4 separate regions of the Mus musculus genome follow, and all the other regions are reported to be linked to region 4. Evidence: microRNA targets listed by miRTarBase, many of them from high-throughput screens and not tested one by one. Region 4 holds a microRNA gene; each other region holds the end of a gene's coding sequence. Distances are from middle to middle.
What was found. The annotated mature microRNA mmu-miR-692 reads AUCUCUUUGAGCGCCUCACUC and lies in region 4 at 1,703-1,723, opposite strand. An mRNA with a match to its seed (bases 2 to 7 or 8) in the 3' UTR can be bound and repressed. Matches are read on the target gene's strand: a 7mer-m8 pairs with bases 2 to 8, a 7mer-A1 pairs with bases 2 to 7 and ends in A, and an 8mer does both.

Region 1: miRTarBase lists Pappa as a target of mmu-miR-692. Seed matches in the 3' UTR shown: 7mer-A1 at 3,199-3,205 and 7mer-m8 at 2,681-2,687.
Region 2: the mRNA of Cyria is a reported target of mmu-miR-692. Seed matches in the 3' UTR shown: 7mer-m8 at 3,966-3,972, 8mer at 6,192-6,199, 7mer-m8 at 6,967-6,973 and 8mer at 6,985-6,992.
Region 3: miRTarBase lists Adgrg2 as a target of mmu-miR-692. Seed matches in the 3' UTR shown: 7mer-m8 at 4,748-4,754.

Annotation. Positions count from the first base shown.
Region 1 is chr4:65,351,472-65,359,711 of GRCm38, reverse strand. Pappa (pregnancy-associated plasma protein A) reads right to left here. Exons shown (of 22, transcript NM_021362.1): 22 at 2,203-8,094. The coding sequence ends at 7,987. Among named protein-coding and RNA genes, the nearest start is that of Pappa, 230 kb to the right of the region's middle.
Region 2 is chr12:12,369,607-12,378,130 of GRCm38, forward strand. Cyria (CYFIP related Rac1 interactor A) reads left to right here. Exons shown (of 12, transcript NM_001146119.2): 11 at 288-358; 12 at 3,141-8,524. The coding sequence ends at 3,204. 4921511I17Rik (RIKEN cDNA 4921511I17 gene) reads right to left here. Exons shown (of 5, transcript NR_045829.1): 3 at 3,395-3,478. Among named protein-coding and RNA genes, the nearest start is that of 4921511I17Rik, 19 kb to the right of the region's middle.
Region 3 is chrX:160,493,071-160,501,594 of GRCm38, reverse strand. Adgrg2 (adhesion G protein-coupled receptor G2) reads right to left here. Exons shown (of 28, transcript NM_178712.4): 28 at 3,519-5,290. The coding sequence ends at 5,106. It overlaps Gm15241 (a long non-coding RNA gene), which reads left to right and starts at 1,777. Exons shown (of 4, transcript XR_387097.4): 1 at 1,777-1,810; 2 at 2,307-2,394; 3 at 7,030-7,057.
Region 4 is chr4:125,503,528-125,506,527 of GRCm38, reverse strand. It overlaps Mir692-2 (microRNA 692-2), which reads right to left and starts at 1,779; the gene lies at 1,671-1,779. All of the region lies in intron 1 of Grik3 (glutamate receptor, ionotropic, kainate 3), which reads right to left. It also overlaps the pseudogene Ftl2-ps.

The DNA.
Region 1 (8,240 bases), 60 Mb from region 4:
GAGCTTACAAAGAAGTTTTGTCTCTTCAGACAAAACTCTGCAGAATACTGAGCTATATCAACACCATAGAGTATAACCTTTTGACTTGGGAAATATTTGTTTCTACTTATGAAGTCATCCTATAAATTTTATTTTATAATTTTTTTCATAGTGAACTGGATATAACTGTAGAGCAGAAAATATGCCAGAGGAACCTTATCATTAAAAACTAGTTAAGGATCCTGGCATGATGGTGTACCTTTAATCACAGCAGAGGCAGTTTAATCTTAATGTTTAAGACCACTCTGCACAGAGAACACCTGTCTTGGAAAGAGACAAACAAACCTAGTTGTGGAGTAGAGGAGCATTTAGCAATGTTTCTTGTTGGTTGGTTTAGTGGCTTCCCTCGTGTTTCTTGATATATTGTATTTTAATGATTTCAAAAATACATTGTGGATAGACCTGATTTGCCTTATCATGATCTCAAAAATAATTCCAATGGATGTTCCTTCAAACAATTCTTTTTGTACAAAACTCAAGATCTTAAGCATCAGTATACAGAAACATACTTTGAGCTGACAGTCAACAGCTCAGTGTACAGTGCCACTGTTATTGAAATGCCTATGCAAGTATCATGACTTCAAGGTATATTGTTCTTATATAGCTGTCTCTTGTGAGACTAGGCTGGGGCCTAGCAAACACAGAAGTGGATGCTCACAGTCAACTATTGGATGGATCACAGGGCCCCCAATGGAGGAGCTAGAGAAAGTATCCAAGGAGCTAAAGAGATCTGCAACCCTGTAGGTGCAACATTATGAACTAACCAGTACCCCGGAGCTCTTGACTCTAGCTGCATATGTGTCAAAAAATGGCCTAGTTGGCCATCATTGGAAAGAGAGGCCCATTGGACAGGCAAACTTTATATGCCCCAGTACAGGGGAACGCCAGGGCCAAAAAATGGGAATGGGTGTGTAGGGGAGTGGGGTGGGGGGAGGGTGTGGGGGACTTTTGGGATAGCATTGGAAATGTAATTGAGGAAAATATGTTAAAAAAAAGATCAACAGTAAAATTAATTATGTTATTGGTATTTGTCATAAGCAGCTTTGGTCTCAACCTGACAAGAGCCAATGCAACCCATGTCCGATAATGTTCTCATTCACTGAAAAACTTATCTTCAAAAAAGAACTCAAGAATATTATGAAGTTGATATTTTATTTTCATTTCACAGATAGCAAAACAGAACCTTAAAACAATTTAATATCTTTCCAGAGACTGCATAGCTACTTACTAGCTGGGGGTGGATGAACAAGAAAATGGCCTAGATAGAGAGAAAGCAGCAATATTCAGTCTCAGTGGAGGCTCACACGATGGACTGGCTAGTTAAGTGTTCATACTTTTTAATTTATTATTTTTCACATAACATCATTTTGAAACTTTATACATATACATTGTGTGGTGATCCCATCCATGCCTCACTCTCTCTCCCCTCCCCGACTCTGCACGTGCCCTTCTTTCTTGTTAGTTTTCTCACTTGTTGTTGTTGTGGATATTGTTGGTCCTCACATTTATTTAATGAGGTTTGCTTCAATGAGCTTGGACAGAGGGTTAAGGAGCATGGGCCCCTTGCCAGTTCTTACAACACTGAAGAAAATGATATCCCTCTGTCCCTGTAACCATCAACTGCCAATAGCTCCTTAGGGCGAGAGGCATCCTAACGAGCCCCTCAATCCTGATCCAGGATGTAATCTTGAAGAACCCAAATAAGGATTTGTGTAGTATCAACCTCTGTAGTGAGCTCAGGATTACAATGACAGTGTGACATCCAGAACACAGGTTGTGTTCATTTTTGTTGTTTGGGTGTTTTTGTTATGAAAATAAAAATATTCTCAGAGTATATTGTTGAAGACAGAGTCCAAATAGCAGTATATAAGGACAAGGAGTATATATGTTAGTGTCATAGAATGGAAATATATTATAATGTATAATAATATTTGCCAGTTATTGCATGTACAAAATATAGATACTTTTCAGGAATTATATAGAGCACTTGATATATATTGAATTCAATTTCATGCTTTTTATTGAATTTTTTTATTATAAGCTCACGTTTCCTTTTAGGTTATTTCATGGGTATGTTTGCATGTGTGTGTGAGTGTGTTTGTGTGAGTACGCGCGTGACCATTCTATATGACTATAACAGTCAAAAACCACACAACAACATGCTGAAGCAGACAAGCTATTATATATTTTCATAATATAGAACTTTAAGGTATAGTAATCAACAGTGGCAAAATATTCGTCTTTGACATTATTTGTGTATATGTGTGTGTGTCAGATCTAACCTGTAATTGAGACCAGAGAAAACAGTATGGAAACACAAATCCATGAGAAGAGCATAAAAAATACCATGAACAGAAAAATATGTTTGAGTATTTTAAACCGTATAGAAAAAATAAATTAGATGAACCATCGTGTAAATATAAATTTAAAAAGATGACATTCTTAATAAATAAAGTTAACTATTTACATTTTTATATATTGCTGAAAGACTTAACTTAGATCCATAAAAACACATGAACAGGAAAAATAACCCAAAACAAGAGCAGCACATTTCTGCGCATGAGGTACAGGAAGAAGAACAGGGTTGTATTTAGTTTTTGCTGTTTACTTTACTTTAATCTTTCTTTTCTCTCTCTCTCTCTCTCTTTTGTTTCCTTCTTTCTTCCTTTCTTTCATTTTTTTAAAATTTTTGTTTGTTTGTTTTACAGTAGACCAGTAGATTTCTCATGAGAACAGATTCTAAGCACTTCAATGAAAAATCATATTTTTGATTGCTTCCAGAAGGTGCTAAACAGATTCTAACATCATAATAATTAGAAATACCCTCAATAATTATGACAGTAATAAAAAGGTATAATATGATACATAAATATGGAAGAGCAGTTTGTAATATGAATACATTTTCTCTAGACGAGATCACAGTTTTGTAAATATTACATTTAAGTATATATATACACACATATATGTACAGCTATATATACATGTGCATATATATGTAAATTTTTATTTATATATAATATCTTTATATAGATAGATATCTGCAGATAGGTTATTGATTATAGAGACCCAAGAAAGCAACTCAATAATTGTTCAAAGTTCTCCTCACTGGCTGCTGGTGTGAAGTTTAAGAAGCCCAACTTGCACTCAGAATGTTATCTCTTCTCTTAATGAACCAGATTATGTGGAAACTAAGTCTGAGAAGTGAGGATTCTACTGGAGAAGAGATGCCAGACCCTCTTACTCTGTAAATTGGAAACGTGCCCCCCAATATTAACTAGATGACAGTAGACTGACTTTTACACTGTAGGAAGCCATTGAATTTTGATTAAATCATTGAATTGGTAAAAGCTAGAATAACACAGGGGAAACTTATCTGAAGAGTAAATATTCCCCAGTACACTCATTAAGGTGGATTGTAACCCAGGCCTTCCAGCTTTGTGCCATGAAATGTTGATCAAGCACTCCCTGTCTCTGAAAAGGGCAATGAGCCTGTGCATTTTATGAAATAAAAGAAAGAAAGAAAGAAAGAAAGAAAGAAAGAAAGAAAGAAAGAAAGAAAGAAAGAAAGAAAGAAAGAACCCTATGACCTTTGCCTCAGGCTGTGTAGTGTCTTCTACAGATTGGACAGTCCGTTTAGTATCCTCAGGGCCTCATGACCCTCCCACTGTGAGGTAGGTAACTAGTTGTATCCCCATTTTTCAGCAAGAGAAACTGAGGCAAATATGGAGGCAATTTGATGACTTCTCCAAGATCACTGAGTAAATTGAAGGCTGGAGAAAAGCATTCTGGAGCTTTGTGCCACCTACATCAACTTCTATCTTGACCATTATTACATTGTTTTTACAGAGGAAATGATAGCTAGGAATTTAGAAAAACTTGAATGAATCACAAAAGGAGGTGTTTCAGAAAACTTGTTCTCTATTTAGTTGTTTGCTTGGTTTGTCTTCTTTCTCAGTATTCAACGGGGTCCCCTGCATGGTCATGAAGCAGCTTCTTAAGAACAGAGCTGTGCAGCGTGGTTCTGAGTGCCATACTGGCAAACAAAAATATCTTATAGTGTAAAAACGACAAAGAGACCCAGTTTCTTTCCTTAATATTTGGTAAAAATCAATATGAAACTCTCCTTCATCCCCTCTACCATGGACAGTCACTAAAGAAATGAACCAATGCTTAGCTAACAATAACTCAAGGGCAAAAATGCCTTACTTCCTGGACCTACCACAATGTTCAGCAAATGTTAGTCAATGCCATAGAATCCCACTCTAAGTCTTCTAGAGAAATCTCTATGTCATCTCTACCTACTCAGTTATAGAATAGTGTCCTCAAGGAAGCATAAAAATAGGGCTTATATTCTTAGGTTTTCACCATGCATTTCAGTCCCTTGTAATCACTTTGTCTCCTATTAATTTCAGTCTTTACAGCTTTGTCACCTTCAATTCCTTCTATTTATTTTCTCACTTGAAGTAGTTTCAGAAAAAAAGAAATCACACACACACACACACACACACATAAAGACACAGAGATACACACACACACACATACACACACTGAAACGGTTAACATGCTCTCCTTCCTGTTCTTTTCTTTTCTTTCGTGTCTTTTTCTATTTATTTCTTTTAAAAAAATCCACACAGGTAAGACCTTTAACAAATTGACAGTTACAACCAAGTTAAATCAAACCTGGAAGGGAGGTAGCTGAAATCTGTCCCAAAGAATTATTTTCAACAAATAGCATTTAAGCATTGGCCAATGTGGGAATGAGACAGAAAAGTCTCGGCAGAGGTCCAGTGTGCTAAGGCCAAGAGCAGCAGCTGATTCCCTCCTTCTGCAAAGGCCTGCTATTTAAGACTGTTAATCTCTCCTTTGCTTTACACCCCACCTCACCTACCCACACTGACTTCCCAAGGACTGACTGACTTCCCTCATGAGGCTGTTGGCACAAAATCTAGGGGGTAATGCAAGTCCTCCGGGCAGACAGTGTGTTGCGGTTTGGAACAGTTCCCCAGATGGGGCTCAGAGAACTGTCCATCTCCTCGTTGCTTCCTTGCTGCTAACAGACATACTGCTTCAGCTGCAGAACTCCCAAGTACTTTAGAGCCCCTTAAGCTGTGGATGTACAATAGTGCTTCAGACCCGCCTCCTCCTGATTATCCCATTGTCCAAAACAGATGACTGAGGAGATGAGACAAGGAGTTTATTCTCAGGAAGAAAATGAAACTGGGAATCAGTGCATTGAAAAAATACAGCTGACTGTCCTGCACTAAGGTCTGAGAAGACCTTATGAATTACACATCCCTTGTGGGCATGAGGCAGGCTACCAATTGGGTAGCCTCTTTTATCTATTAGGCTCAGCAAATATGAATTTGTTCATAACAGGCTTGAATGGCGGTGAGAAGAAAACTGGATGGGACTCTTCCTGGAAAGCTCCCCCCACCCGCCCCCATTTCAGCCTATGAATCTTAACAGAGGAGCCAGCCTCCGGGAATCTTTGCCCAGCTGGAAAGGATAAGAGCAGATGACAGTGACATCGACAACAGGGTTTGGATGAGGAATGACTGGGAGAAATTCTTGTGGTCTTTCTTAGTTTCTACAACTCTTCTATTGATAATGTCATCTTTGGGTCTTTGGAGGTTTCTGGATTACTTATCTGGAAGGATGGCCCTGTCACCACTCTTTTGCTTGTCCCTTCTAAGCTGACACAGCACATCAGAGCAAAAGAGGAATCTGAAGGCTTGACAAAAGTTTGAGGATCTTGGAGAGATGATCATAATTGGGCCAGCTACTAGAAAAAAAATTGTTCTTATATTTTGATAAAGATTGGTCCAAGAAATCCCAGGGGGAAATGCACTATGAGATATGCTTTTGGAGGAACCAAAGTGCTTGACCATTGTGTTAGTGGCCACTTCTCCACTCTAGACTTCAACCCCAGAAGCTAAAGGACAGGACAAGCTGCATAATATAAGCACTTATATCCATAATTGTGGGTACCAGTGCAAAACCATCTTGGTACATTTCCTGATATTATGGACCACAGATGGTCAATAGCTACCTTTTAAAATGTTCTTGATCAGTAGGAAAAAGCTATTGGTCATAATATGAAAACACAGTTGGCTAAGTTACTGTTGGTCCTAGTAGATAAAGGGATGTGATAGTTGAACAATTAATGCCTTAGATGCAGTGTGGCTTACACATGGGCTGGCATTTTGCATTCTGTTCCAGACTTTGTTTTATTGGTTGGTTATCTCCACTAGACTTGCGATCAGTTGATGTACTATTCATCTTTCTGTTATATAATTCATTTAGATCCTCCATATCATTGCTTCCCTGCCCCACCTTTCATAAATTATGTCAAAGTTAGCTATTCTATCCACATCATCCTGTGTTAACTCTTCCCATATTAATTCAGAGTATATACATAGGTATGAAAAGAGGCAGGAAAAAAGGCCCTGCATATATTGCTGGCTTCCATGTACAGTTGACTCATTTCCTCTTAACATTTAAAGACTAAATATGGGAGGGGAAGGAGTGATGTCCAACAATGAATGTGGAAAGATGTCCTAACATCTGAAAGATTATGTGGAAAATATGATGACTATGTTGGGTACTCAGTCTGGATCTCCAGGGCTTCCCTTCCATGTTCTTCTAGTATACAGTCGACATCGCCAATGTCCAAGATGTTTCACAACTCTATCTGCTTGGAGTAATAGTGGGAGTCTCAAGACCAAAGCTTCTTCTAGCCTAGAGAGCTAGGAAGACTGGGATAAGGACAATAACTTAAGTCCTTGCTATTCCAACAGTCTCTGGGTAGCTCCAGCATTTCCAAGTTTAACACTGTTCCACTTGATTAGAAAATCCAACACTGGATTAGATATTCTGGACTTTCCAGAAGGGCTCCAGCATCTGGCATCCCTCAACTCTTTCCCAGAATGAGAAGTCTACTCATGAAAGACTTAAGCCCATGAAGGATATTTTTTTCTTATAGATGGGCAAGAAGTGAGGAACTGTGGGAAAATATGAATCACTTTTGAGGCAGTCTACTTGGTTATATGGAGTTTGTTGTAACCTAGTTCTACCATCTTAGGGCACTCAATGTATTGGACAGAGCAGCAGGAAGAGTAGCAGCAAATGTGGTCCCAAGGTCAGATCTGGAAAATGGGTGGAATCTGGAAGGGGTATGAAGACCTCAAGCCTCAAGCAGGGAGCTGATAGAATACCTTAATTCTGCAGTCCTAAGCCATTTCCAGCTCAACCTTGCACCCTGGTGTTGGAACAAAACCCCCATGGCAGCAAAAAAATTGGGGAGCTTTGCACACCTTGGAATATTTACCATTTAGGAAGCCCTAGTTCCCTAGAAGGTTGGTGATTACAGCCATTTCACTTCCAGTCCCAAAGCACTACACAATATTCTGAGCCTTAGAATCTGAGATGTATTGGCTTTTCAGTACTTGGTCTTAATTTCTATAAACCACTTCTCCCAAAGACAGTGTTCCTTGGGAGCTTGGAAAATGAAAGATTGAATTTTTTGGATTTTGTTCTTTTTTTTTTTCCAGTTGTTTTCTGCCCTCACACAGACATTGGCATGGGTGTGCATGCATGCCTGTGTACTAACCACAGATGTGCATACTCCTTGATACACACACCGTTTTGTTGTTCTTTTGGGCTATGGTCATTTGAGAAATGGAAAGAATTTTTAGAGGCTCTGGGTCTACATGCCGTGTGTTCAATCCATCTTAGACTACAGGATAGTATTCCACTCCATCATTCAACATGGTGAGATTCAGTTCATTGCCCCACAGTTGGTCCTTCCTGGGTGAAATTAAAGGCAGACCGGTTGGGTGCTAAGGATCCCTGGTGTGGAGAGGCCATTTCATTGAGCAGCAGACTGTGAAATCAATACCAGAGGGATGCGGGTCCTGGCATTGGGAAATCTTTGACACCTGTCTTTCCTTAGCCATGGCTATATCCCCGAAGATCTTTCCGGTTGTGTTCTTGGGCCTCAGGGTCTCGACAGGCGCAGTCATTTTGTAGGTCACAGGACATAGGAAAGGGAGTGACCTGCAGAGATAAAAATCAAGAATGAATCAGATGCTTCGGTCTGATTTTCAGAGAGGTGATAAGAAGGAAAGGGGCAGTCACTAGATTTGAAAAATATATTCCAGTTCAATTCACAGTTCTACTTTTTGATAGCATTACAATAACCT
Region 2 (8,524 bases), not on the chromosome of region 4:
AGAAGAACCATTTCTAGTACTGGTTTGAGCTCCATAGTACAAGGCAAGAGGTTTCTCCCCAAGGAAAATGAGATGCCCAGTTGTAGCATAGGATGAAAATCAGTTGGGATTGCAGTCATACAGAACTCTTGAGAAGCCCCGAGCAGCGCTGCACCATCCCGAGAGAGGAGAGAAGCTTGTCCATGATTGGCATGTGCTGATGCTTCAGAGAGCTGTTTGGATGGACAGATGTCACTGTGGACAGGATGACGAGGTTAATAACAAAATTCTGTGCATTCTTCTTCCAGATGAAAGGCTGCATAAAGGTGTTGAAGGAACAGGCCCCAGACAGTGTGGAAGGGCTCCTGAATGCTCTCAGGTGAGCTTGTCTCTGGCAGAGGCTGATGGAGCGGGAGCCCTTGCAGGCCATTGCAGATGTGGGTGTTTGAGTCTGAGCACCAACCTATCAGTCTTAGCCCTCCACTCATTTTAACATCACTCCTCTCCCTAGCAAGGTTTGGAGGTCAGCACCATTTTTACTATTCATTTTGTACAGATGGGAGAATATGAGGCAACTTTTTTTTAAGGCGTTGGGTTTTCGAGACAGGGTGTTTCTGCATAGCCCTGGCTGTGCTCAAACAAGCTCTGTAGTCCTGGATGACCTTGAACTCATGGATCTGCCTGTCTCTGCCTCCTGAGTATTTGAATTAAAAGCCTGAGCCACCATATGTTCAAATAACTTTTCAATGTCATAACAGTAACGGGCCAAGTTACCTATACTTGGATCTGAGTGGACCCACGGATCTCAGACTTGACTTGGCCAAGATACTCTGGTAGCAGAGGAGTCTTCTGAGAAGGAAAGCATCCATTTCTCATGTCTGCCTTCACCCAGGGCTCCCAACCCTTGCTTCGTGGGTTGATACATAGGCACTGAGGTTGGAGGTCAAGTAAATTAAATCACTGGATCACTGGCCTGGAAGCTCAACTCAGGCACCTCTGGTGTGTGTGTGTGTCTGTGTGTGTGTGTGTCTGTGTGTCTCTGTGTGTGTGTGTCTCTGTGTGTGTGTGTGTCTCTGTGTGTGTGTGTCTCTCTGTGTGTGTGTCTCTGTGTGTGTGTGTCTGTGTGTGTGTGTGTCTGTGTGTCTGTGTGTGTGTGTCTCTGTGTGTGTGTGTGTCTCTGTGTATGTGTGTCTGTGTGTGTGTCTCTGTGTGTGTGTCTGTGTGTGTGTCTCTGTGTATGTGTGTCTCTGTGTGTGTGTGTCTCTGTGTGTATGTCTGTGTGTGTGTGTGTCTCTGTGTGTGTGTGTCTGTGTATATGTGTGTCTCTGTGTGTGTGTCTGTGTGTGTGTGTTATTGTCTGTGTGTGTGTGTGTCTCTGTGTGTGTCTGTGTGTGTGTGTCTCTGTGTGTGTGTGTCTCTGTGTGTGTGTGTCTCTGTGTGTGTGTGTCTGTGTGTGTGTGTCTCTGTGTGTGTGTGTGTCCGTGTGTGTGTGTGTCTGTGTGTGTGTGTCTCTGTGTGTGTGTGTCTCTGTGTGTGTGTCTGTGTGTGTGTGTCTGTGTGTGTGTGTGTGTGTCTCTGTGTGTGTGTGTGTGTCTCTGTGTGTGTGTGTGCCTGTGTCTGTGTGTGTGTATGTGTTTTCCTGGCTCCCCAAGGAGCTCCCACATACAACTCTCAGAACTGAGAACCTGAGATCCTGTTATTCACTGCTGGATGCCTGAACTTATTTCCACTCCTTAGGCACTATTCCCTTTTCCCAAGGATACATTTGCTTAATCCACTTCAAGAAAGAGGTTGTTATTTTTAGCTATGCTGCATCCTAAGGAATTTGCTGAACCGCACAAATCATCCTGCAGAATCTCAATCAGGAAGGCTTATGGACCCTGATGTCTTAGCCGTTCGTTCCCCTCAGTTCCAGATGATGTAAGAAATGCCTGCAGTAAACTTGGGTAAATCTAAGAGAAAGGAGGAGGCACTCATTTCTGCATGCAGTGTTCCACCTCTAGTCACAGCACATGGGACCACTGCAACCCTTAGAACCATGGCTGACCTATTGTCCTCCCTCAACAGACGAAGAAATCAGCAGTCTCAAGACACCGAAGCTGCTATTTTTCTGAGTTGCCAATTCATCATCTTTGAGAATATGTGTGTCTTATGAGCCTCCTAAATCCTAGGTTTTCTCCAAAGGAGACTGCAAGCAAGCTAGGCTGGCTTTTAATATTCATTAAGAAGTCTTTAACTTCTGAACTTCGGAAACTTTTCAGTTTCAATCTAGCTGCCAAAACGTCCTGAAGATCAGGGCATTGTGTCAAGCCACTAGTCCCAGCCCAGTGTGGGAATTTGTATTTCCTGGAGATCTGTGATGAACTGGGAAGAGTGTAGGCTTTTGAGGCAGCAGACGTAGACTCAAGTCAAAAGTCACAGACTGTTCACAAATCAAACCCATCTGCTCTGAGATTCAGAGTGAGCCACTGACTCACCTGTGAAATCAAGTCACTTACCTCATTTAAAGAGACATTTGTGACTGGAATAGGACCTTTGACGTATCATGTGGTCAAAGCTTTATTACAGGGTTTTGTCTTTTTTTTTTTTTTTTTTTTAGCATTCCTTTGCACATGAGATTGAGTAATGAATAAGATGCTTTAGATTGCACTTTTGTTTGTGTACCTCACTTGTGGCCCCTAGCAGCAGTGGAGGATGTACAGCTCCTACAGTAGATAGACAGCAACATCTAAATTTCTGGATGCCATAATTGCTCAGCCTCGAAGAACAAGATGCTGAACTAAGCGCTGTGAACTTTATCTCTGAGAAAATGAGATCAGTTTGTCCCCTTTGCGTAGTCATCTAATGAGATTTTTAAAAAAATGATTTTAATAATCATCACACAAGCTCATTAGAAGCTTAGCATTGTGGTGTATGCCTTTGATCTCAGCAATAGGGAGGCTGAGACAGGAGGATTTCCCTGAGTTTAAGGCCATCATGGGTTACAGAGAGTCAATCTGGAGCATAGAGTAAAACCAATCTAAGTCAAATAAAAACTTGCAGAAAGTATATAGAATGAGAACCAACCTATGGGTCCTTCTCTAAGGAAACGAGCACGCACTGTTGGATTTACAAATTTCAAATGGGCAAGCCCTGACATGAAACTCTCTTTCCCCATTCAGGTTCACCACAAAGCACTTGAATGATGAATCGACTTCCAAACAGATTCGAGCGATGCTTCAGTAGAGGCCTGCTCAGAGAGGAGGATCTATGCTGACCTCAGAAGATGTAGATGTTTACATAATTTAATACAGATTGATGTTAATACTTGTGTATTTACATAACCATTTCCTTCTTGTCACTGAAATATATGGACCTGAATTTGTATCCTGACTGATTCAACCCAGCCGAGCATAAATTGACTTGAGCGCCTTACCTTTGATGTCTGAAGCGAAACTCCTTTCACCAAGGGCCAGATTCGGAAACTTCAACCTTGGCTGCTGGAGTCCTGTAGTGATACCTGTAACAATCAGAAATTCTTAATCGCTTGTGGTATGGTTTTAATTCTAGATGTTTTATCTCTCTGGGAGTATAGTTTATAGAAACACAAAGTACTTGATTTCCTGTGTCGGCTCAGATACAAGAAACACACACAACTGTTACCCTGACAGAGAACAGAGAGAGAAGATCCAAGATAAGAAAACTGCATGTGGAGAGCGGCGCACAAGAGTTCTGAGTTCAGCACGTCCCCCACCCTCTTCCTGCCGCCTGCAAACCTCACGTGCAGCTTTTCTATATGCACGTGTTTTATTAATCTGAATATTCTCCTTCTGTCTCGGTTTGTGTCCCTTTCATTCCCTTTTAGTATTTGCAAGAGGAAAATTGTCTGTGTTTTAATCAGCTAATGAGGAGGCTATGGGATGGACAGAGGGCTTCTTGCAGGAGAATTGAGAAAAGTGACTATCTTAAGAATATTATTTCTTTTTTTAAAAAAGAATATTAGAGAGAAAGAGAGAGAGAGAGAGTTGGCATAAGGACAGTCTTATCTGTGTCAACCCTCTGCCTGCAGGGACAGATAAATGGAACTCTGGTTGTGATATCATAACTAAGATCAGTCACCTCCCAGGAGTCTGCAGAGTTCTAGGTACACCACCCGTCTTAATATGGGAGCTCCCATTCTGTATCAAAATGGACTGTTCATATCAGAGCTGAGAACTAAAGCACTTCGTTCATTATCAGAAAACTGGAGGAATTTAGAGAGAGGAAATCTACGATTTCTAATTACCTGGAGTCAGCCCCCACTAGTCTGAGTACTTCGGCAAATTCACTTTTTGTCTCACCTTCATCATATGGCTCAGTGGTTAAGAGTACCTGTTGCTGTTGCAGAGGACCTGGATTGGATTCCCAGCACCCACTCAGTGGCCCACAACTATCCAATACTCCCGATGCATGGGATCCAGTGCCCTCTTCTGATCTCTATGGGCATCAGGCATGCACACAGTACACTTATATACATGCAGAAAAAAATACTGAGACACATGAAATAAGATAAATCTTTTTTTTAAATCTAAAATGGAAGGCTACTAGGAGCCACTACACTAACCTTTCTTCATGCATAAATCCAATGAGTACTACCCCACCCATCTTGATGAATATCAATATCTTCAGGACTGCAATCATTCTGCCTATAGGTCAGAACTGAGCTAGGATGGAATCTTGAAACATATTCTGACCTCCAATGAAAAGATATGGGCATACAAGGTGAGTTGTACGTAGAACTAAATCCTTGAGTGTTTCCCACCTGACTCTACTATACTCTTCCTGATCACCATGTGGCCTAAGAATATATACTATGGAGTCTATGGACCACTGTAGAGAAGTTTTTAGTCTAGCCTGTTTGATTACTTGTAAATCTCTGCTAGAAGGAGAGAATTTTCCAGACAACTGAATGAATGATAATCCTGGAAGTCAGGTCTAGGATGATTAGGGTGTGGTATTATTTGGTTTGCAACATCCCAAGGCAATACTTCCAGACTAAGGTGGCCATCCAGCATTCCTTTGAGTCCTCCAAGAAAGATGATACTTGGTTCATTTCAAAAAACCAAATGCAGACAAATGGGAGAACCAGTTCCCCAGCTTATGTTAGCATAGTCAACAGCGAGCATAAAGACTTTGTCACTTGGAGCGTTACCAGCAGAGTAAATGTGGCCATTGACTGGCCTAAGCATTCTCTAAGAGTTGTGCTAGATGGCTTCCATGATCTTGTCAAACCTAGAAATTCCAAAATCTCGAGGAAGCTAGAAAACACAATCCTGTGGCAGTAAGACATTCTCCAGTGTTCAGCTTTAGGGATTTTCTATTTGGCAGCCATAGGCAATGCTTATTTGGGCAACTCTCACGCCTACAAGAGCAGAGATGCACAATAAGCATTTGTCCATTTGCTCTTTCCTCAACAGAGGAGATTAGGATTTCAAAGAACAAAGAACTGCCCAGTTTCTATTGGGCTCTTAGACACAGACCTGAGCCATGAACCCAAGCCACGTATCTACACCATAGCTGCCTCTCAGCTGGCTACATAAGGAAACATTAGGGATTAACTGTCAGAATATACATACATACATACATACATACATACATAAATAAATAAATAAATAAATAAATAATAGCTTAGGACATTTGTAACTCTTAGTTAGACTTTCTATTAAATGGGACCAAATGTGTGTATGGGTGCTGTCAGTCTGCTTCAGTCTAGCCAGTCCAGTATCTCCAAGATGAGACTCAACAGGACTTGGATTTTGAGAAGCCCAGGCTCTAAATAATAGCCTCAGGTCATCAGGGGGACAGACTGAGTGTCTGTGATCACTAACAGGGAGTGGGCCTTGAGTCCACTCCAGAACTGTGGTGGGAGACCAATACTCTTAACAGACTGTCCAGTAGGTATCGGGAATCCTTGAACAATTTGGGTTTTCTTCCCCTTTTTTCTCTTTCGTGCTGCATGCACATTTATCCAACACTCACGGGTTGTTTGGGAAAAAGTACCAGCAATGATGTCGATGTTAATAATACTTCATAATTGATATCTTATAGCTTTCAAGTAAAGTGTTTTCTATAACTCAGATAATTAATTTGAAGCAAGAAAGAAGGTAAAAATGAGGTTTCCCAGCCATGTTGCTGCTTTTGGCATGGTCGCTTCTCTGAGGTTCACCTAGGCTTTCACAGCAAAAGTTGGGTGGAAAGAGAAATTTTTATTTGTGATGACACAATAGAGCCAGAATATTAGCTAACAACGTTGAAGGAGGTGTTGGGTGTTTTTAAATATTTAGTTAATATATTCCTCATGGACATAAAATACATTCTTAGTTATTATCATTATGTCAAACAAGAATGGCAAGCCTAAGTTTGTGAGGCATCATCACAATTCTGTCAAAATAATGTTATGCTTTTGAAAGATAAAGCCTGCTCAATCTAGGGATCCAGTTGTGCAGTAGAGTTCAGACTTCTCATCCAATCTTATATTGTAGGCATTTCTCAAGTGTTTTAGATATTAATAACTAACATTGGGATTTTACTTTGCCAGCCCCAGCCTTCAGAACTCCATTGTCATAGTACACCTGTAAAAATGGTTGCACATCAGAAGGGGCTTTGAAGCGCTTGTATGTTGTTTGCCGGAGTCATTGTAATTTTTTTGTTTGTTTTTTTGGGCTTTTTGTTTGTTTGTTTTTGCCTGCATTGCCTCTTTTTGTACAGAACTTTTGAGTGTGAAATGAAAATTAAAGTTTGGTACATACACAGTTTAAAATCATGTTTGTATATGATGCATAGGCAAAATGGATGGCCCTGCATGGAAGTCTGCTCAACTTGCTGTGAGGAAATGACGTCATATCAGCTGATCTTCCATCATAGTTTCTTCAAATATGGAATGTAATTCCCCAAGGGGCCTGCTTTTAGAATCACTGGTCTCACATTTATTTCAACAAGGACCTTAATTATATTAAAATTAAAATAAAGAAAGAGAGAGAAGGAGAGAAAGAGAATCAAGACTAATACTTAGAGATGTAAGAGAGCTGCTTGTCCAGGCATGCTAAGAAACTCCAGGAATGCTCTTTCACTCATTTTAATGCAGTAGCATTTTGTGAATTTGGCAAAATGGGTGAAAGAAGGAAACCCTCCCCTGTGTAAGTTCATTTCTTTCAGACAACAGAAGCATTAAAATGGTTCTTTTAACTCTTCAGCACTGACACTTTCCAGAGTGCCACTTTTATTACTCTCTAAACTTCTGAAGCCAGAGACCTAATTGTATGTTTTCTCAATGAATTTGAATCTCCAAGAGCGACCTTCTATAACAGCCAGTGAAAAGGTTGACTTGGGGTATGAAAGGAATGGGAATGAGGTCTTTTCTGTAAATTGACAAATGGTTGAATTATAAGTGGGTGGCCAGGCAGTAGTGGAGCACGCCTTTAATCCCAGCACTTGGGAGACAGAGGCAGGCAGATTTCTGAGTTCGAGGCCAACCTGGTCTATAGAGTGAGTTCCAGGACACCCAGGACTACATAGAGAAACCCTGTCTGGAAAAAAAAATATGTATATATACATATACATACACACACACACACACACACACACACACACACACACACACGCATGGGAAAAGTCTGGTAAACAGGAAAGAAGATTTTGGAGTATATGAGTGTGTATATATGTGTCTGTCTGTCTGTACTTACAGGACCATGAGAACCATGGAGCAGGGAAGAAAGTATGTATGTGCCTGTCAAGATCGATACAGTTAAATAATGTTGGTGAATTTATTTGAACTGTATTCATTAGGTATATTGATTTCCATGCCCAAGTTGAAGTAGAAACTAGTAAAGGACCCACTCATCTGACCCATGTGGTAACTCATACAAAGTAAATAGAGGGTTGAATATTGCATTCACCACCCCCCACCCCCAGCTGACCTTCAGAATAGAGAGCTATTTTTTTCTGGTCACATTCAGCCTGGCAGGATTGTTTTTTTGTTTTTTTGTTTTTTGTTTTTTTTTCTGCTGTGTTTTCTCTTCCCTCCATCTGATTCCAAAGATCTAGAAATGCAGCAATTCATGGAAATAGGCTCCATAAAATGCTTCTGTAGACTGGCCTTTGAAATTATGCTATGTAGGATTCTAGATCAATCTCAGAATTTAATAGTGATTTTCTTAAGTGGACAGTTCTTAGAAATCCCTTAAAGTATTTTCTCATCAAACCTTGTGTTTCTGGAAGTCTCTCCTTCTCTACCTCTCTTTTCTGCTTAGTTTTAGGTCTTCTTTGCCTTCCCTGCAGTTGGTTTTGTTTCAAGATGAGGGACATATTTCATTGACCATTCTGTGGCTGCTAATGGTGTCATTGGTCTGATTTGAGAAACAAAGGGCTCTTTCTTGAAGTTCACTCTAAAATCAACATGAAAACACTTGGGGAAGCCATCAAACTACTCTCCTCCAAATAACAATACACTTGGAAGAAATGCCTTCCTTTTGCTTGAGAAAAGTCCTCTGAGAAGCATGGGGAAGAGGACATGGTTGATGGTTTTATA
Region 3 (8,524 bases), not on the chromosome of region 4:
TTCCACAAGCACTTTGTTATTCTCCACTTTGACCCATTTCATTGTCTAAAACTTACCTTTGCCTTAAAGACTAGGTCAGCCCACTCATTAGCGTTTCCAATTTTCTGGATTCCTATAGCAGTTTCCTCAGTAAAGATGGGGCAACGAGTCAGTTCGAACTGCACTTTATTCCATTTCTGATTTATATAGACATTTGTGTTACTGTTTCAGTTGTTTGACTTTTACTGTTTTTATCTGTTGGGGTAAACCTCATGCCTTGTAATGTGACAAGGTCAAGTGCGTGTAGCACATACTTGACTCAGAGTGGCACTTAAACCAGAGCTATTTTCAGCACCATTTGGAAATAGTGTATTGTTTACATTTTAACTGAGGCATACTTTTCTAACTGGATTATGAGATGCTTATGAAATAGCTTGGTATCTCCCACCACACCTGGCACAGAGTTGATTGTACATGTGTCTAGGGCTCAATGTTGATGGACTGAAAATGAGTCCTGCTTATTTGACTCCCCTTATAGTTAGTCTTTAACTAAAGCACCCAACCCCTATCAGCCCACATACTTTTTCTCTGAGACAGAGTCTTGTCATGTAGCCTAGGCTGCTCTCAACTATATTATGTATCCAAGACTATTCCTCAAACTCACAGCAATACTTCTTTCCTCGGCATCCAAAGTGTTGGGATTCTGAGTACGTGCCACCACACCCAGCTCGAGTACTTTTCAACATTCTTTTCAAGCCTTGGTGCATGTATATGTTTTACATTGGGCAGTTCCCCTCATATCTTCTTACCATTCTTTTCTCAACTCATTATTTGTTTTAATAATGGCACTGAAGTTATGAAACAGTGCACAATGTACTTCCATGTAGGAGTTGCTGTGGCCTAGGGAGTAAGATTAAGCATTCAATTACCATAATTGAATCCCTTTAGTAATCTTTCTATGTACCTTTCCTGGAGATTTCATATATTCTTCTGTATTTAAAAGGTGGCATCATTGCTTATTTTTAGGATGGCTTGTGTTCTCATTGGAAGCTTAAGACTCTGTCTTAGAGGACAGCATGCAAAGTGGAAATATCATGTCTTTTGAACCTAAAGTACCCTGTCTCTGAATTGGGAGGGTCCATTCTTAATCAACTTGAAAAAACTAACCAGTTAACCAAATTAAACTATTTCTGTAATAATTTAGTTTAGATGACCTGGAATCATTTTACTTTCCCATTACCATAGTGTAAAAGAATGTTAAATTTGTCTCTGCTCCAACTTCTTGCAGCTATATAAGATTGAGAGTCAAGGAGAGGACATACCAGGGACTATAAGGGTTTCTTCATAGTGAAGAACGTATCTATTAAATATATTTTAAAAGCATATATTTTAAAGCCAGGAATGGCGATACTTGTAATCCCATCTTTGTGGATACTGAATCAGGAAGGTCCTGAATTTGAGGCAAGCCAGCCAGGGTTACAAGGCTATATAGCTATCTAGGTAAACATGATAAAAATACACTATATGGAATTCTCAAATAATTAATAAAATATTATTTTAAAGGCTATATATTTGTGATAGTTTGTATATTCTTGGACCAGGGGGTGGCACCATTTGGAGGTGTGGCCTTGTTGAAATAGGTGTGACCTGGTTGGAGTAGGTGTGTCATTGTGGGTGTGGGCTTAATACTCTCACCCTAGGTGCCTGGAAGTCAGTCTTCCACTAGCAGCCTTTGGATGAAGACATAGAATTCTCAGCTCTGCCTGGGCCATGCCTGCCTGGATGCTGCCACACTCCCACCTTGATAATAATGGACTGAACCTCTGAACCTGTAAGCCAACCCCAATTAAATGTTGTTTGTTTTTTTTTTTTTTATAAGATTTGCTTTGGTCATGGTGTCTGTTCACAGCAGTAAAACCCTGAATAATACAATATTCCATATGAATATATATTTAAATTTTATATGCTCTGATTTCTTGATGTTATATCTGGAAACTGAGGTGAGAAATAAATGAATATATTCCTAAGAATTTTTGACCCAATTTTGTTCCTTTTTTAAAAAAAATCTTTTTTATGCACATGAGTATTTTGCCTGCATGTATGTATGTCTACTGTGTTCGTGTCTGGTGCCTGTGGAAGTCAGAAGAGGCTGTCAGATCCCCTGGAATTTGAGTTATAGATGGTTGTGAGCTACCATGTGGGTCCTGAAACCAAACCCAGGTCCTCTGCAAGAGCAACAAGTTCTCTTAACTTCTGAGACATGTCTCTGGTCCCAATAGTATGTTTTTATTGTACTTACTCAGCTTCTCCTGGTTTCTGTCCCTCAGACCCCAAGGAGGAGATGAGATAGAGATAAACTGAATCATCTTTTCTTGCTATTATGAAGACAAAAGTCACACCAAACAAGTCTGCTTGGTGAGTATGCCATTCAGTAAATTAACTCTCCATTGAAATACCCTTCAAATAACACACCTTCCTCCAAGGTGACCTTGTTAGATACAAGCCAGCTCACCGAGTGGAACAGTTTGCGTCATTTCATTAAAGGCACAGCTCATTAAAGGCAGCAAAGTTCCTATGATTCAATGATTCTAGAGAATTCTGGGGGAAATTTCTCCAGTGCATTGAGGAAACACTTCAGATGCCGGGCACTGCTTCGACATTTCCTGAAGAATAGTAGCTCCTCTGTCTTCCTTAAAACAGTCTCCAATTTTAAAACCAGAGGAGGTTACTCCTCAGGAACATTCTGTCTCCGTCTTGTCATGTTATTTCTCTGAATTTACAAACCAACAAATAGCCAAGAGAATTTAGCTTAAGGACCGGACAAGGGCCCTAATACAAAAGGTAAGGAAGGTGGGAACTGAAGGACTTTTGACTGTGCTTTTTAGGTGTACTCTGGTATGTACGTTACTTTGGGAGGTTGATTTCCAAGGTTTCATCCCTCCCCCCTTACCCCCACCCTCAAATCAAAAGTGTCTCATCACCTTTCCAATCAATGGCTTCTTTGTGGGAGCTGAGACGCTGGGAAAGAAAGATTGCTCAGACAGTTCTCATCTGGGGGAAGGCTGCTTTCCCCAGTTGTGGCTTCCAAATGCTAACTAGCAGATGGCACTTAGTTAGGACCTAACAAAAGGATTTTGAAATGTTCCTATTAAACATACTATGCTTGAGACACCATGAGAAACAATATAGACCCTCTAGGACTAGGAACAATCAGAGTTCGATATATATTATTATGTACAAAGCCTCTTGAATCTTGTTTTCATTCTCCTGAAAACCCACTGCTGGAGACTGAGGAAGCAGACATTTGGATGGGGTCTGAACATTTCATACATTTCCTACAGGTCAGTGGCAACACACGTTAAAGAGTATCTCTTGAAAGAGTAAGATAAGATAGACAATAGCCCTTGGAAACCACTGTCACGAAGCAGGACAAGCCATTCTCTAATGCCACAGTCCAAATCTTCAGAGGGTATGTTCCACCATTCCATGCCACGCTGCCAGGGGGTAGGGTTGGAGAAAAAGAATGCAAACCAAACTTAAAGGACTTAACTGCAAATTGATTTTTATTGGTTTTTAACAGTTTTGTCAATCATAACATATAAATACAAAATAATTAAATAATTTGGAGAAGAATTTTGCAAAGACAATGAGCACACACAGAAACAGATGTTACTACTGTGGCTAGTCTCAGATACAACATTTATTTGAAATATATGCAAGGGAGCCTTAGTGAAAGACCTAACTAAAGGATTTTGAAATGTTCCTAATAATCACACTGCTTGAGGCACCACTCAAGCTGGTAAAGGTGAGAAATAGGATAGGCCCTCTAGAACTAGGAACAATCAAGGTTGGATATATGTTATTACATACAAACAACAATATCACAGGATAATTCACTCTTCCCAGTAGCTGCTCCCCCTTGTCACTATACACTCTTCAAGATTTGACATGTTTTTAAAAATACATACAAGTATGACTGGACCAGAATGTAGCAGTTGCAACAATAACATATCATGCAGCGTCTTTTAAAGACCTACTTTGTTTGCCATATATACACTCTGGAAAAGTAATCCTACTCTGATCCCCTCTTTTGAAAGGCTCTGGGTATTTGAGAAGTGGCAGTGTGTATCTTTTCTACCATCACGATTTTCCTAACATGGTTTAGATTACAGTTTTAGCCTCTAACAACCATGGTGTAGAGATTCTATAATCTGGTCATTAGGGATGAAGTCTGGCCATTGGTATCACTATTTCATGTCACATATAGTCATACAAGTCATTCCCTGCATAAGGACCCTTCATGAGGACCCTGCATAAGGTACCCAGGAGGATCATCAGGGCTAAAATGTGGCCCGACTGTTTTCCAAACCATAAGCTCACAAGGCTATATCTGCCCAGTGGGGGCACCTTTTCTTGATTGCTCAAAGGCACTTTCTGAGCTAATTGTCTATTTATAATTGTTCAGACTGCCTTTATCATTATTTCTTGATTTCAGTGAAGTTTCTGAATTTCACATCCTATATGATCTTCTAAAGGAGGTTTAGAAGTCACTGGTAAGTTATCACATTAGAGAAGGCGACACAACCATGATTCTACAAAAGAATAAATTTACACAGTAGAAAATAAATATAAAAAAAGGTAAAGAGAAGATTTTTTGACATGTGGGTCACTAGAATTTAGCTTATATACAACAAAGGCATGCACAACTAAACTTACCAACAGACTGAAGTAAACATCTTTCTTTCTTTTTTCTTTCTCTCTCTCTCTCTCTCTTTCTTTCTTTCTTTCCTTCTTTTTTTCCTTCTTTCTTAGGATGTTATCAAGGATAACAGCCTCTTTAAAATGTGAGTGGAAACAAACTTTCATTTTTCTTTCCTGGATCTTATTCTGTGGTTTTAACACCAATGCCTTTGAAAATGAGAGATAAGAAACCAAACTGCAAACGTCTAGAAACCATAACCAGTCGTGGTTTCTTCTGATAGTAACTGGTTGCCCTCATTTAGCTTATGTTCCTTTCGAGGTTGCTGAATAGAAAACCAGCGCTTTTCATACATCTCACATTGTGTTAAAGGAAAACTGGACACTTCACACCATCCACATCATGCTTTGATTTTAGAAGAAGAGAATCACATTTGCTCGATAAAGTGTAAGCTTCCCCGCTTCGAAGTCCTTCTGAGCGCTATCCGGCTTTTACCATTGCAGGAGTCCTCTTTGTCACTAAACATATGCTGTTTGCCAGTGAGATCATGAAGGCACACGTCTCCATTCTGAACACTGAAAGAAACCCCATTCCTCTCGGTAGATGCATTGCCTAGATAGGAGAAGATCAAAGTTGGTCTCATGAAGTAGCCACAGAAAGTACTCAAGACCAAGCAAGTAGCATCTTTACATTAATGTTGAATAGGCATGCCAGAAATGAATCTTTTAAAAGTACCCATCCTATGTTTTCATATTTTATTTTTATTCCTTCCCTAAGGTCCGTGATGGTAAGCACAGCAAGTTGGAGGATGATCAGAAACAAAATTCCTGTTGACAGTTTTAAAAAACTGAAACAGTCAAAATGGAGAGCGAAGCAAGCTATTTTTTTATTTTCAAGGTCCCATTTCCTAACTCCAATTGAACACAGTGAATTAAACTGTGTATAAGATAACCTACAATATTATTTAAGATTAGCAGAGATCCTGTAGGGACCCACATAGGCTCCTTATTCCCTATGATTCCTATGAAATGAAATTTTGTATTAGAAGATAAGCTCAAAGCAACCAGCTACAGTCCTGGGAAGATGAAATCATCTCTCTATAGCCATTTCTAAATCTGTGTTCTCACAATCCCAATAGCACAGCTTCCCATGAGGAAGCCATTGATTCCAGCCTAAGAGGGGGACAGCAGGGTACTCAGTGGTACCTGTGATTTAGACCTAGGCCTCCCTATCATTAGCAGCCTCAGAACTTCAGGACATAGCATCTATTAGCTTTTAGCTACTTAGCACCATCTTTTCGATCATTATAGCTTTGAAAGGCCATGTACAAAGCTGAATAATAGCCTATTGGTTATGTCATGATACAATCATAATAAAGATGAAAACAGCACTGAGCACATCATGTATAGTCTCACTATATATATATATATATATATATATATATATATATACTTAGTTAATGCTAAGGGACAGGTGCTTTTTATGATCCCATTTCACAGATGTTAAGACAAAGGTAGAAATTAAATGATCTGCCTAAACTTCTATAGCTCAAAAGTGATGGATGGAACACTTGAGGGTGCTTCCAAAGTGTTAGCTCGTGGCCCTGTGTACTAAAGTTTCATGGCTGTAAGGCAGCTAGGAACTGAAATATGTGTCACATTTATACAAAAGAGGCAGTAGAAGTGGCTAACGCAACTCCATCTGTGCCGCAGCTCAAACAGGGCGTGAGCCTGTCTGAGGCAGCTGTTCTGACTTAGGCACTTTGGTTTGAGGACGTTTGGTTGTGGGAACAATTTGTCCCAGTATAATAAAACACTCAGCTGCCAGTTTCGTTTTTGAAATTCTCAGTGCCATTCCTCATCTGGGGTGGAGGCTGACATGTCAGAGATGTTCATCTGACAGACACATTATCTTTTTTTTTTCTTTTTTGAAACACTTAGCCATTTTGTTGACTGCAATGTGCCCCTTACTTACTGTCAGATATCAAAACTAGCTGTGTCAAACAGCGGTGCCAAAATGGACCTGCTTCTACAAAATGATTCCCCAAAGATTGACATTTTTTTTGGGTAATGCTAGGCAGGTGAAGCATCACCTCCAAACCCTTTTCAGAAGATTAAAAACCCTAGTTATGGATCAAGAGCCCCTCGACACACACACACACACACACACACACACTCACACACACATACACACACACACACACGCACACACACACACACACACACACACACACACACACACACACGAGTCTAAGGCTTCTGGATGATTCAGTTCAATCCTTTAATCACATGCCTTTCAACTTGCTCTCTCACTCTTAGTAACCAGCCTTGATCTCCTTGTCTTTATTCCAGGGACCTACAATGAATCATTCCTCATATGGTAAGTTGGCATAGTGCCCAGAACTTTAATCTTGGTATTGACAGTGAGGATATAAGGCCATATGGCAGCAATTTTTTTTAAAAAATGTTAATTAATTAATTTTTCATTTTATATGCATCAGTATTTTGCCCGAATGTGTATATGTCTGTATGAGGGTGTCAGATCTTGGGGTTACAGACATTTATGAGCTAAGTGGGTGCTTGGATTTGATTCTAGTTCCTCTGGAAGGATGGTCAGTGCTCTTAACCAATGAGCCATCTCTCCAGCACCAGACTGCAGCTTCTTATCTTTTATAGCACTAGTTTGCAAAGAAGAAGAAATTTATTACCTGTTCCCATAGAGGACATTGTCTAGGGGCATTTTTGCTTGCTGCAAATTGGGGCAGGACACTGCTGGTTTTACTTGGTAGAGAAGCTAAGGATGCTATTCAACACTTTGCAATTCTCTAAAAATAGTTATCTAACTCCATATGTCACCTGTGTCCGAGATCGAAAGGTCTGGATGTCAAGGACTCCTGTTATATATCTTCTTTGTGTAAAATCTTGTATGTGGTATGTGCAGGCTGGCATGTTTATAAGCTCATGTGAGTGCAGGAACGCACTTGCAGTGTTCCTGTGCACACATGCGGAAGCCTGAGTTTGGAGAGTGTCTTCCTGGGTTACTCTGCACTCTCTGTATCGAAGCAGGATTTCTCACTGAATCTGGAGCTCACCAGTTTGGTTGACCTGGCTAGCCAGCCAGTCTGCTTGGCTGTTTCCCATCTCCTCCTGCCTCTTGTGTGCTAGTATTACAGCAGGGTCACCACACGGTGCATCAGGCTTTTAAGTGTGTTCAAGAGATCTGGTCCTTACCCTTGTGTAGTACCCCCTGAGCCATCTCCCCAGCCAACCCCCAATTGTATTCTTTAAACTCAAACTATCAGAAGCCCTCAACTTTATGAGACTAAAAAACTATTTGGTTGAGACCTGAACCTTCTCACAAACTGATCTGATTAGTAATGGAAAGGACTAAAATCTTAAAATAATGGATAAAGGCCAACTGTTCTTTGGAAGGAGAAATGTACTGGCCAATCACACACATTTTTTAAAATGCAAAAGGTATATTAAGAAGCAGAAGGAGGCAAAAGTAAGTAAGATAAGCTTTATGAGTAACGAACAGCCCAGTCTTGGAGAGAAAGGAAATGTAATGAAGTTTTAGCTGGAAATTCTAGACTTAATGAGTAAAAGAAGCACAGCTGCAGTCATCTGTTCATGTATGAGTGACACAGATAGTGGCCAATATTGCTCACAATCCATCTTCCAGCCTTTGATACATTCATGGGAACCTGGGTGCTGTCACAAGGCAGCCACATTGTGGGAAAGGGTTAACAAACATGAAAAGAGAAAAAAACAGGAAGGTTTCAAAGTGCTAAAGATATACATGGCTAATAGATATGATTTTTAAAAAAAACATATTGCTTAGTAATTT
Region 4 (3,000 bases):
CAGTAAAGTGTTTGTTGCTTAAGCATGAAGACCGGGAGTTCAGATGCCCAGCAGCTGCGTAAAAGCCAGGACGGCTACAAACATCTGCAGCTCCGTGCTGGGAGGTGGAGACAAGCAGCCCCAGGGTCAGACTGTCAGTCAAAATGGCATGCTCCAGGTTCAATGAGGAACACCATTTCAAAAACTAAATAGAGAAACTACCAAGGAGGACATCCAAGCACTCTTGCATAGGTCAGCGCTCTCTCTCTTATACACACACACACACACACACACACACACACACACACACACACACACTGCTAATTTCTTCCCTTCTAGAAAAGTTAGATAGGGAGGAGCTAGAGAAAGTATCCAAGGAGCTAAAAAGATCTGCAACCCAGTAGGTGCAACATTATGAACTAACCAGTACCCCAGAGCTCTTGACTCTAGCTGCATATGTATCAAAAAATGGCCTAGTCGGCCATCACTGGAAAGAGAGGCCCATTGGTCAGGCAAACTTTATATGCCTCAGTACAGGGGAACGCCAGGGCCAAAAAATGGGAATGGGTGGGTAGGGGAGTTGGGGGGAGGGTTTGGGGGGAGGGTGTGGGGGACTTTTGGGATAGCATTGGAAATGTAATTGAGGAAAATACGTAATAAAAAAAATTTAAAAAAAAAAAGAAAAGTTAGATAGAATTCTGTCCAAGGAAAGGGAAAAATGAATCCTGGAGGGAACTGGAGGGAGTTGGAGGGGGCTAGAGGAGGCTGGAGGGGGCTAGAAGGGACTGGAGGGGTCTGGAGGGAGCTGGAGGGGGTAGAGGGGGCTAGGGTATCTGGGGGGAGCTAGAGGGGTCTGGAGGGGGATAGAGGAGGTTGCAAGGGACTGGAGGGGACTGGAGGGGCTGGAGGGAGCTGGAGGAGGCTGGAGGGGGCTAGAGGAGGTTGCAGGGGGCTAGAGGGAGCTGGAGGGACTTGGATGGGGCTAGAGGAAGTTGGAGGGGGCTGGAGGGGGCTGGAGGGGTGGAGGATTGATGAGGCATAAGAATTCCTGGTAGAAAACAAACCGGAAGGGGCGGGGCAAGGAAAGCTGGGAGGGCAGAAGCAAAGAGGAGCTGAGAGAGATGGGCTCCCCTCCCATGTCTGCAGTGTGACATGGAGCCCAGCTCTGAGCTGCCCTGAGCTTCCTTACTTCTCCCAGAATATAGAAAAACGAGGAAGCTCCAAGCACAGGGCTTTGATGTGGGCTGTACACACCTCAGTGTGAGAGACCATGTTGTCATCACTACCTGGATCTCCCATGATGCCCCTGAAATGCTCCAGAGCTCAGGCTCAGGACGCAGCTGCACCCCAGCCCTGCAGTCTGCGCTCTTCGACACAGAGTGGGCGTTCCACTAATGTTTGGTGAATCAATGAGTCAGCCCAGAGTCCATGTGAAAAGGACAGGAAATAAACACAAAATTACAAACAGCATAAAAATAGCCACATTTCCAAAGCAGGATTGGTTTTTTTTTCCTTCTGCTTTCTTTTTTTTTTTTTTTTTTTTTTTTGCTGTCTCAAAAAGCTTTATTTTTACTTGGTCCAAGACTTGACAGAGGCTCCAGGGCGGTTACAAAGCTGCCTAGTGGCTTGAGAGGTTCATTCAGGTGGAGGTCCCAGGGCGGGCTGGTGCAGAGCAGAGGGGGGAGCCCCTTGGAAGGCACAGAGGCCTCCTAGTCGTGCTTGAGAGTGAGGCGCTCAAAGAGATACTCGCCCAGAGATCCCTGGGGCGCGCCAGTCTGCGCTGGTTGTGGCCCTGCCACCCTGCGGAGGTTGGTCAGATGGTTGCCCATCTTCTTGATGAGTTTCACCTCCTTATCCAGGAAGTGGCTTTCCAGGAAGTCACAGAGATGAGGGTCGGCGCGGGCAGAGCCCAGGGCATGCAGATCCAAGAGGGCCTGATTCAGGTTCTTCTCCAGGGCCAAGGCAGCTTCCATGGCCTCCTGGGTTTTACCCCATTCATCTTGAGATGGCTTCTGCACATCCTGGAAGAGTGCACGGCCCCCGCGATCGTTCTGAAACTCGAGGAGACGCTCCGCGCCCTCGCGCTTCTCCTCGGCCAATTCGCGGAAGAAGTGGCCTACGCCCTCCAGAGCCACGTCATCCCGATCAAAAAAGAAGCCCAGAGAGAGGTAGGTGTAGGAGGCCCGCAGGTGCAAGTTGACCAGGCGGTTCACGGCAGCTTCCACCTCGGTGGAATAATTCTGACGAATCTGAGAGGTCATGGCTGATCCGGAGTAGGAGCTAACCGCGAAGAGACGGTGCAGACTGGTCCTAGGAGCCGAAGGCAGCGAGGAGATGGTCCCGGAGGCTGCGACTGGAGAGACTTGTAAAGGCGGCTGGAAGCGAGTACAGTGGGAATCCCCGGGTCTGTTCCGTTCAAACACTGTTGAAGCAAGACACAGATCCACGGGACCTCCAAGGCGCTGCTCTCCTTCTGCTTTCTTAAGGGAAGGGAAAAAAAAAACCCCAATCCCTTGATGCTGACATTTTTCAAGCCAGAGTCTCCAAAGCAGCCGTAACTGAGGCCGCCATGCACTCTCACAGCATGTTCTAGGTCTTTCTATCTGCTCTAGGGACCATCTTGCCTCTGACATTCCCAGAGCCTAAATGATAAGTCCTCTGTTATTCTGACATGTAGGGTCTTCTTTGTCTCTTTGGGTTCTAGTGCAAATGCTCCCAGCCAATTCTTGGTCCCCTGGTGATGGACAAATCCTCCACCTTTCTCACATCTTCTTGTCTAGGATTGGCCTCTGTGGTACCCAACCATCATCACCAGGCTTCTCTGACACATCCAGGTGATGATGCAGGGGCTCTTTGAGGGAATGCCGCAAAGCTGAGACATACTGGTTTCCCATCACCCGAATGAATAGTAATTTTATTTATTAGCAGAAAATAAGGTTCCATTACAGGTGTGCAGGGCTCCACAGCTCAGGAAACAATAAAACAGAAAACACGTTTAAGAAATCACATTTAGCAGGATAA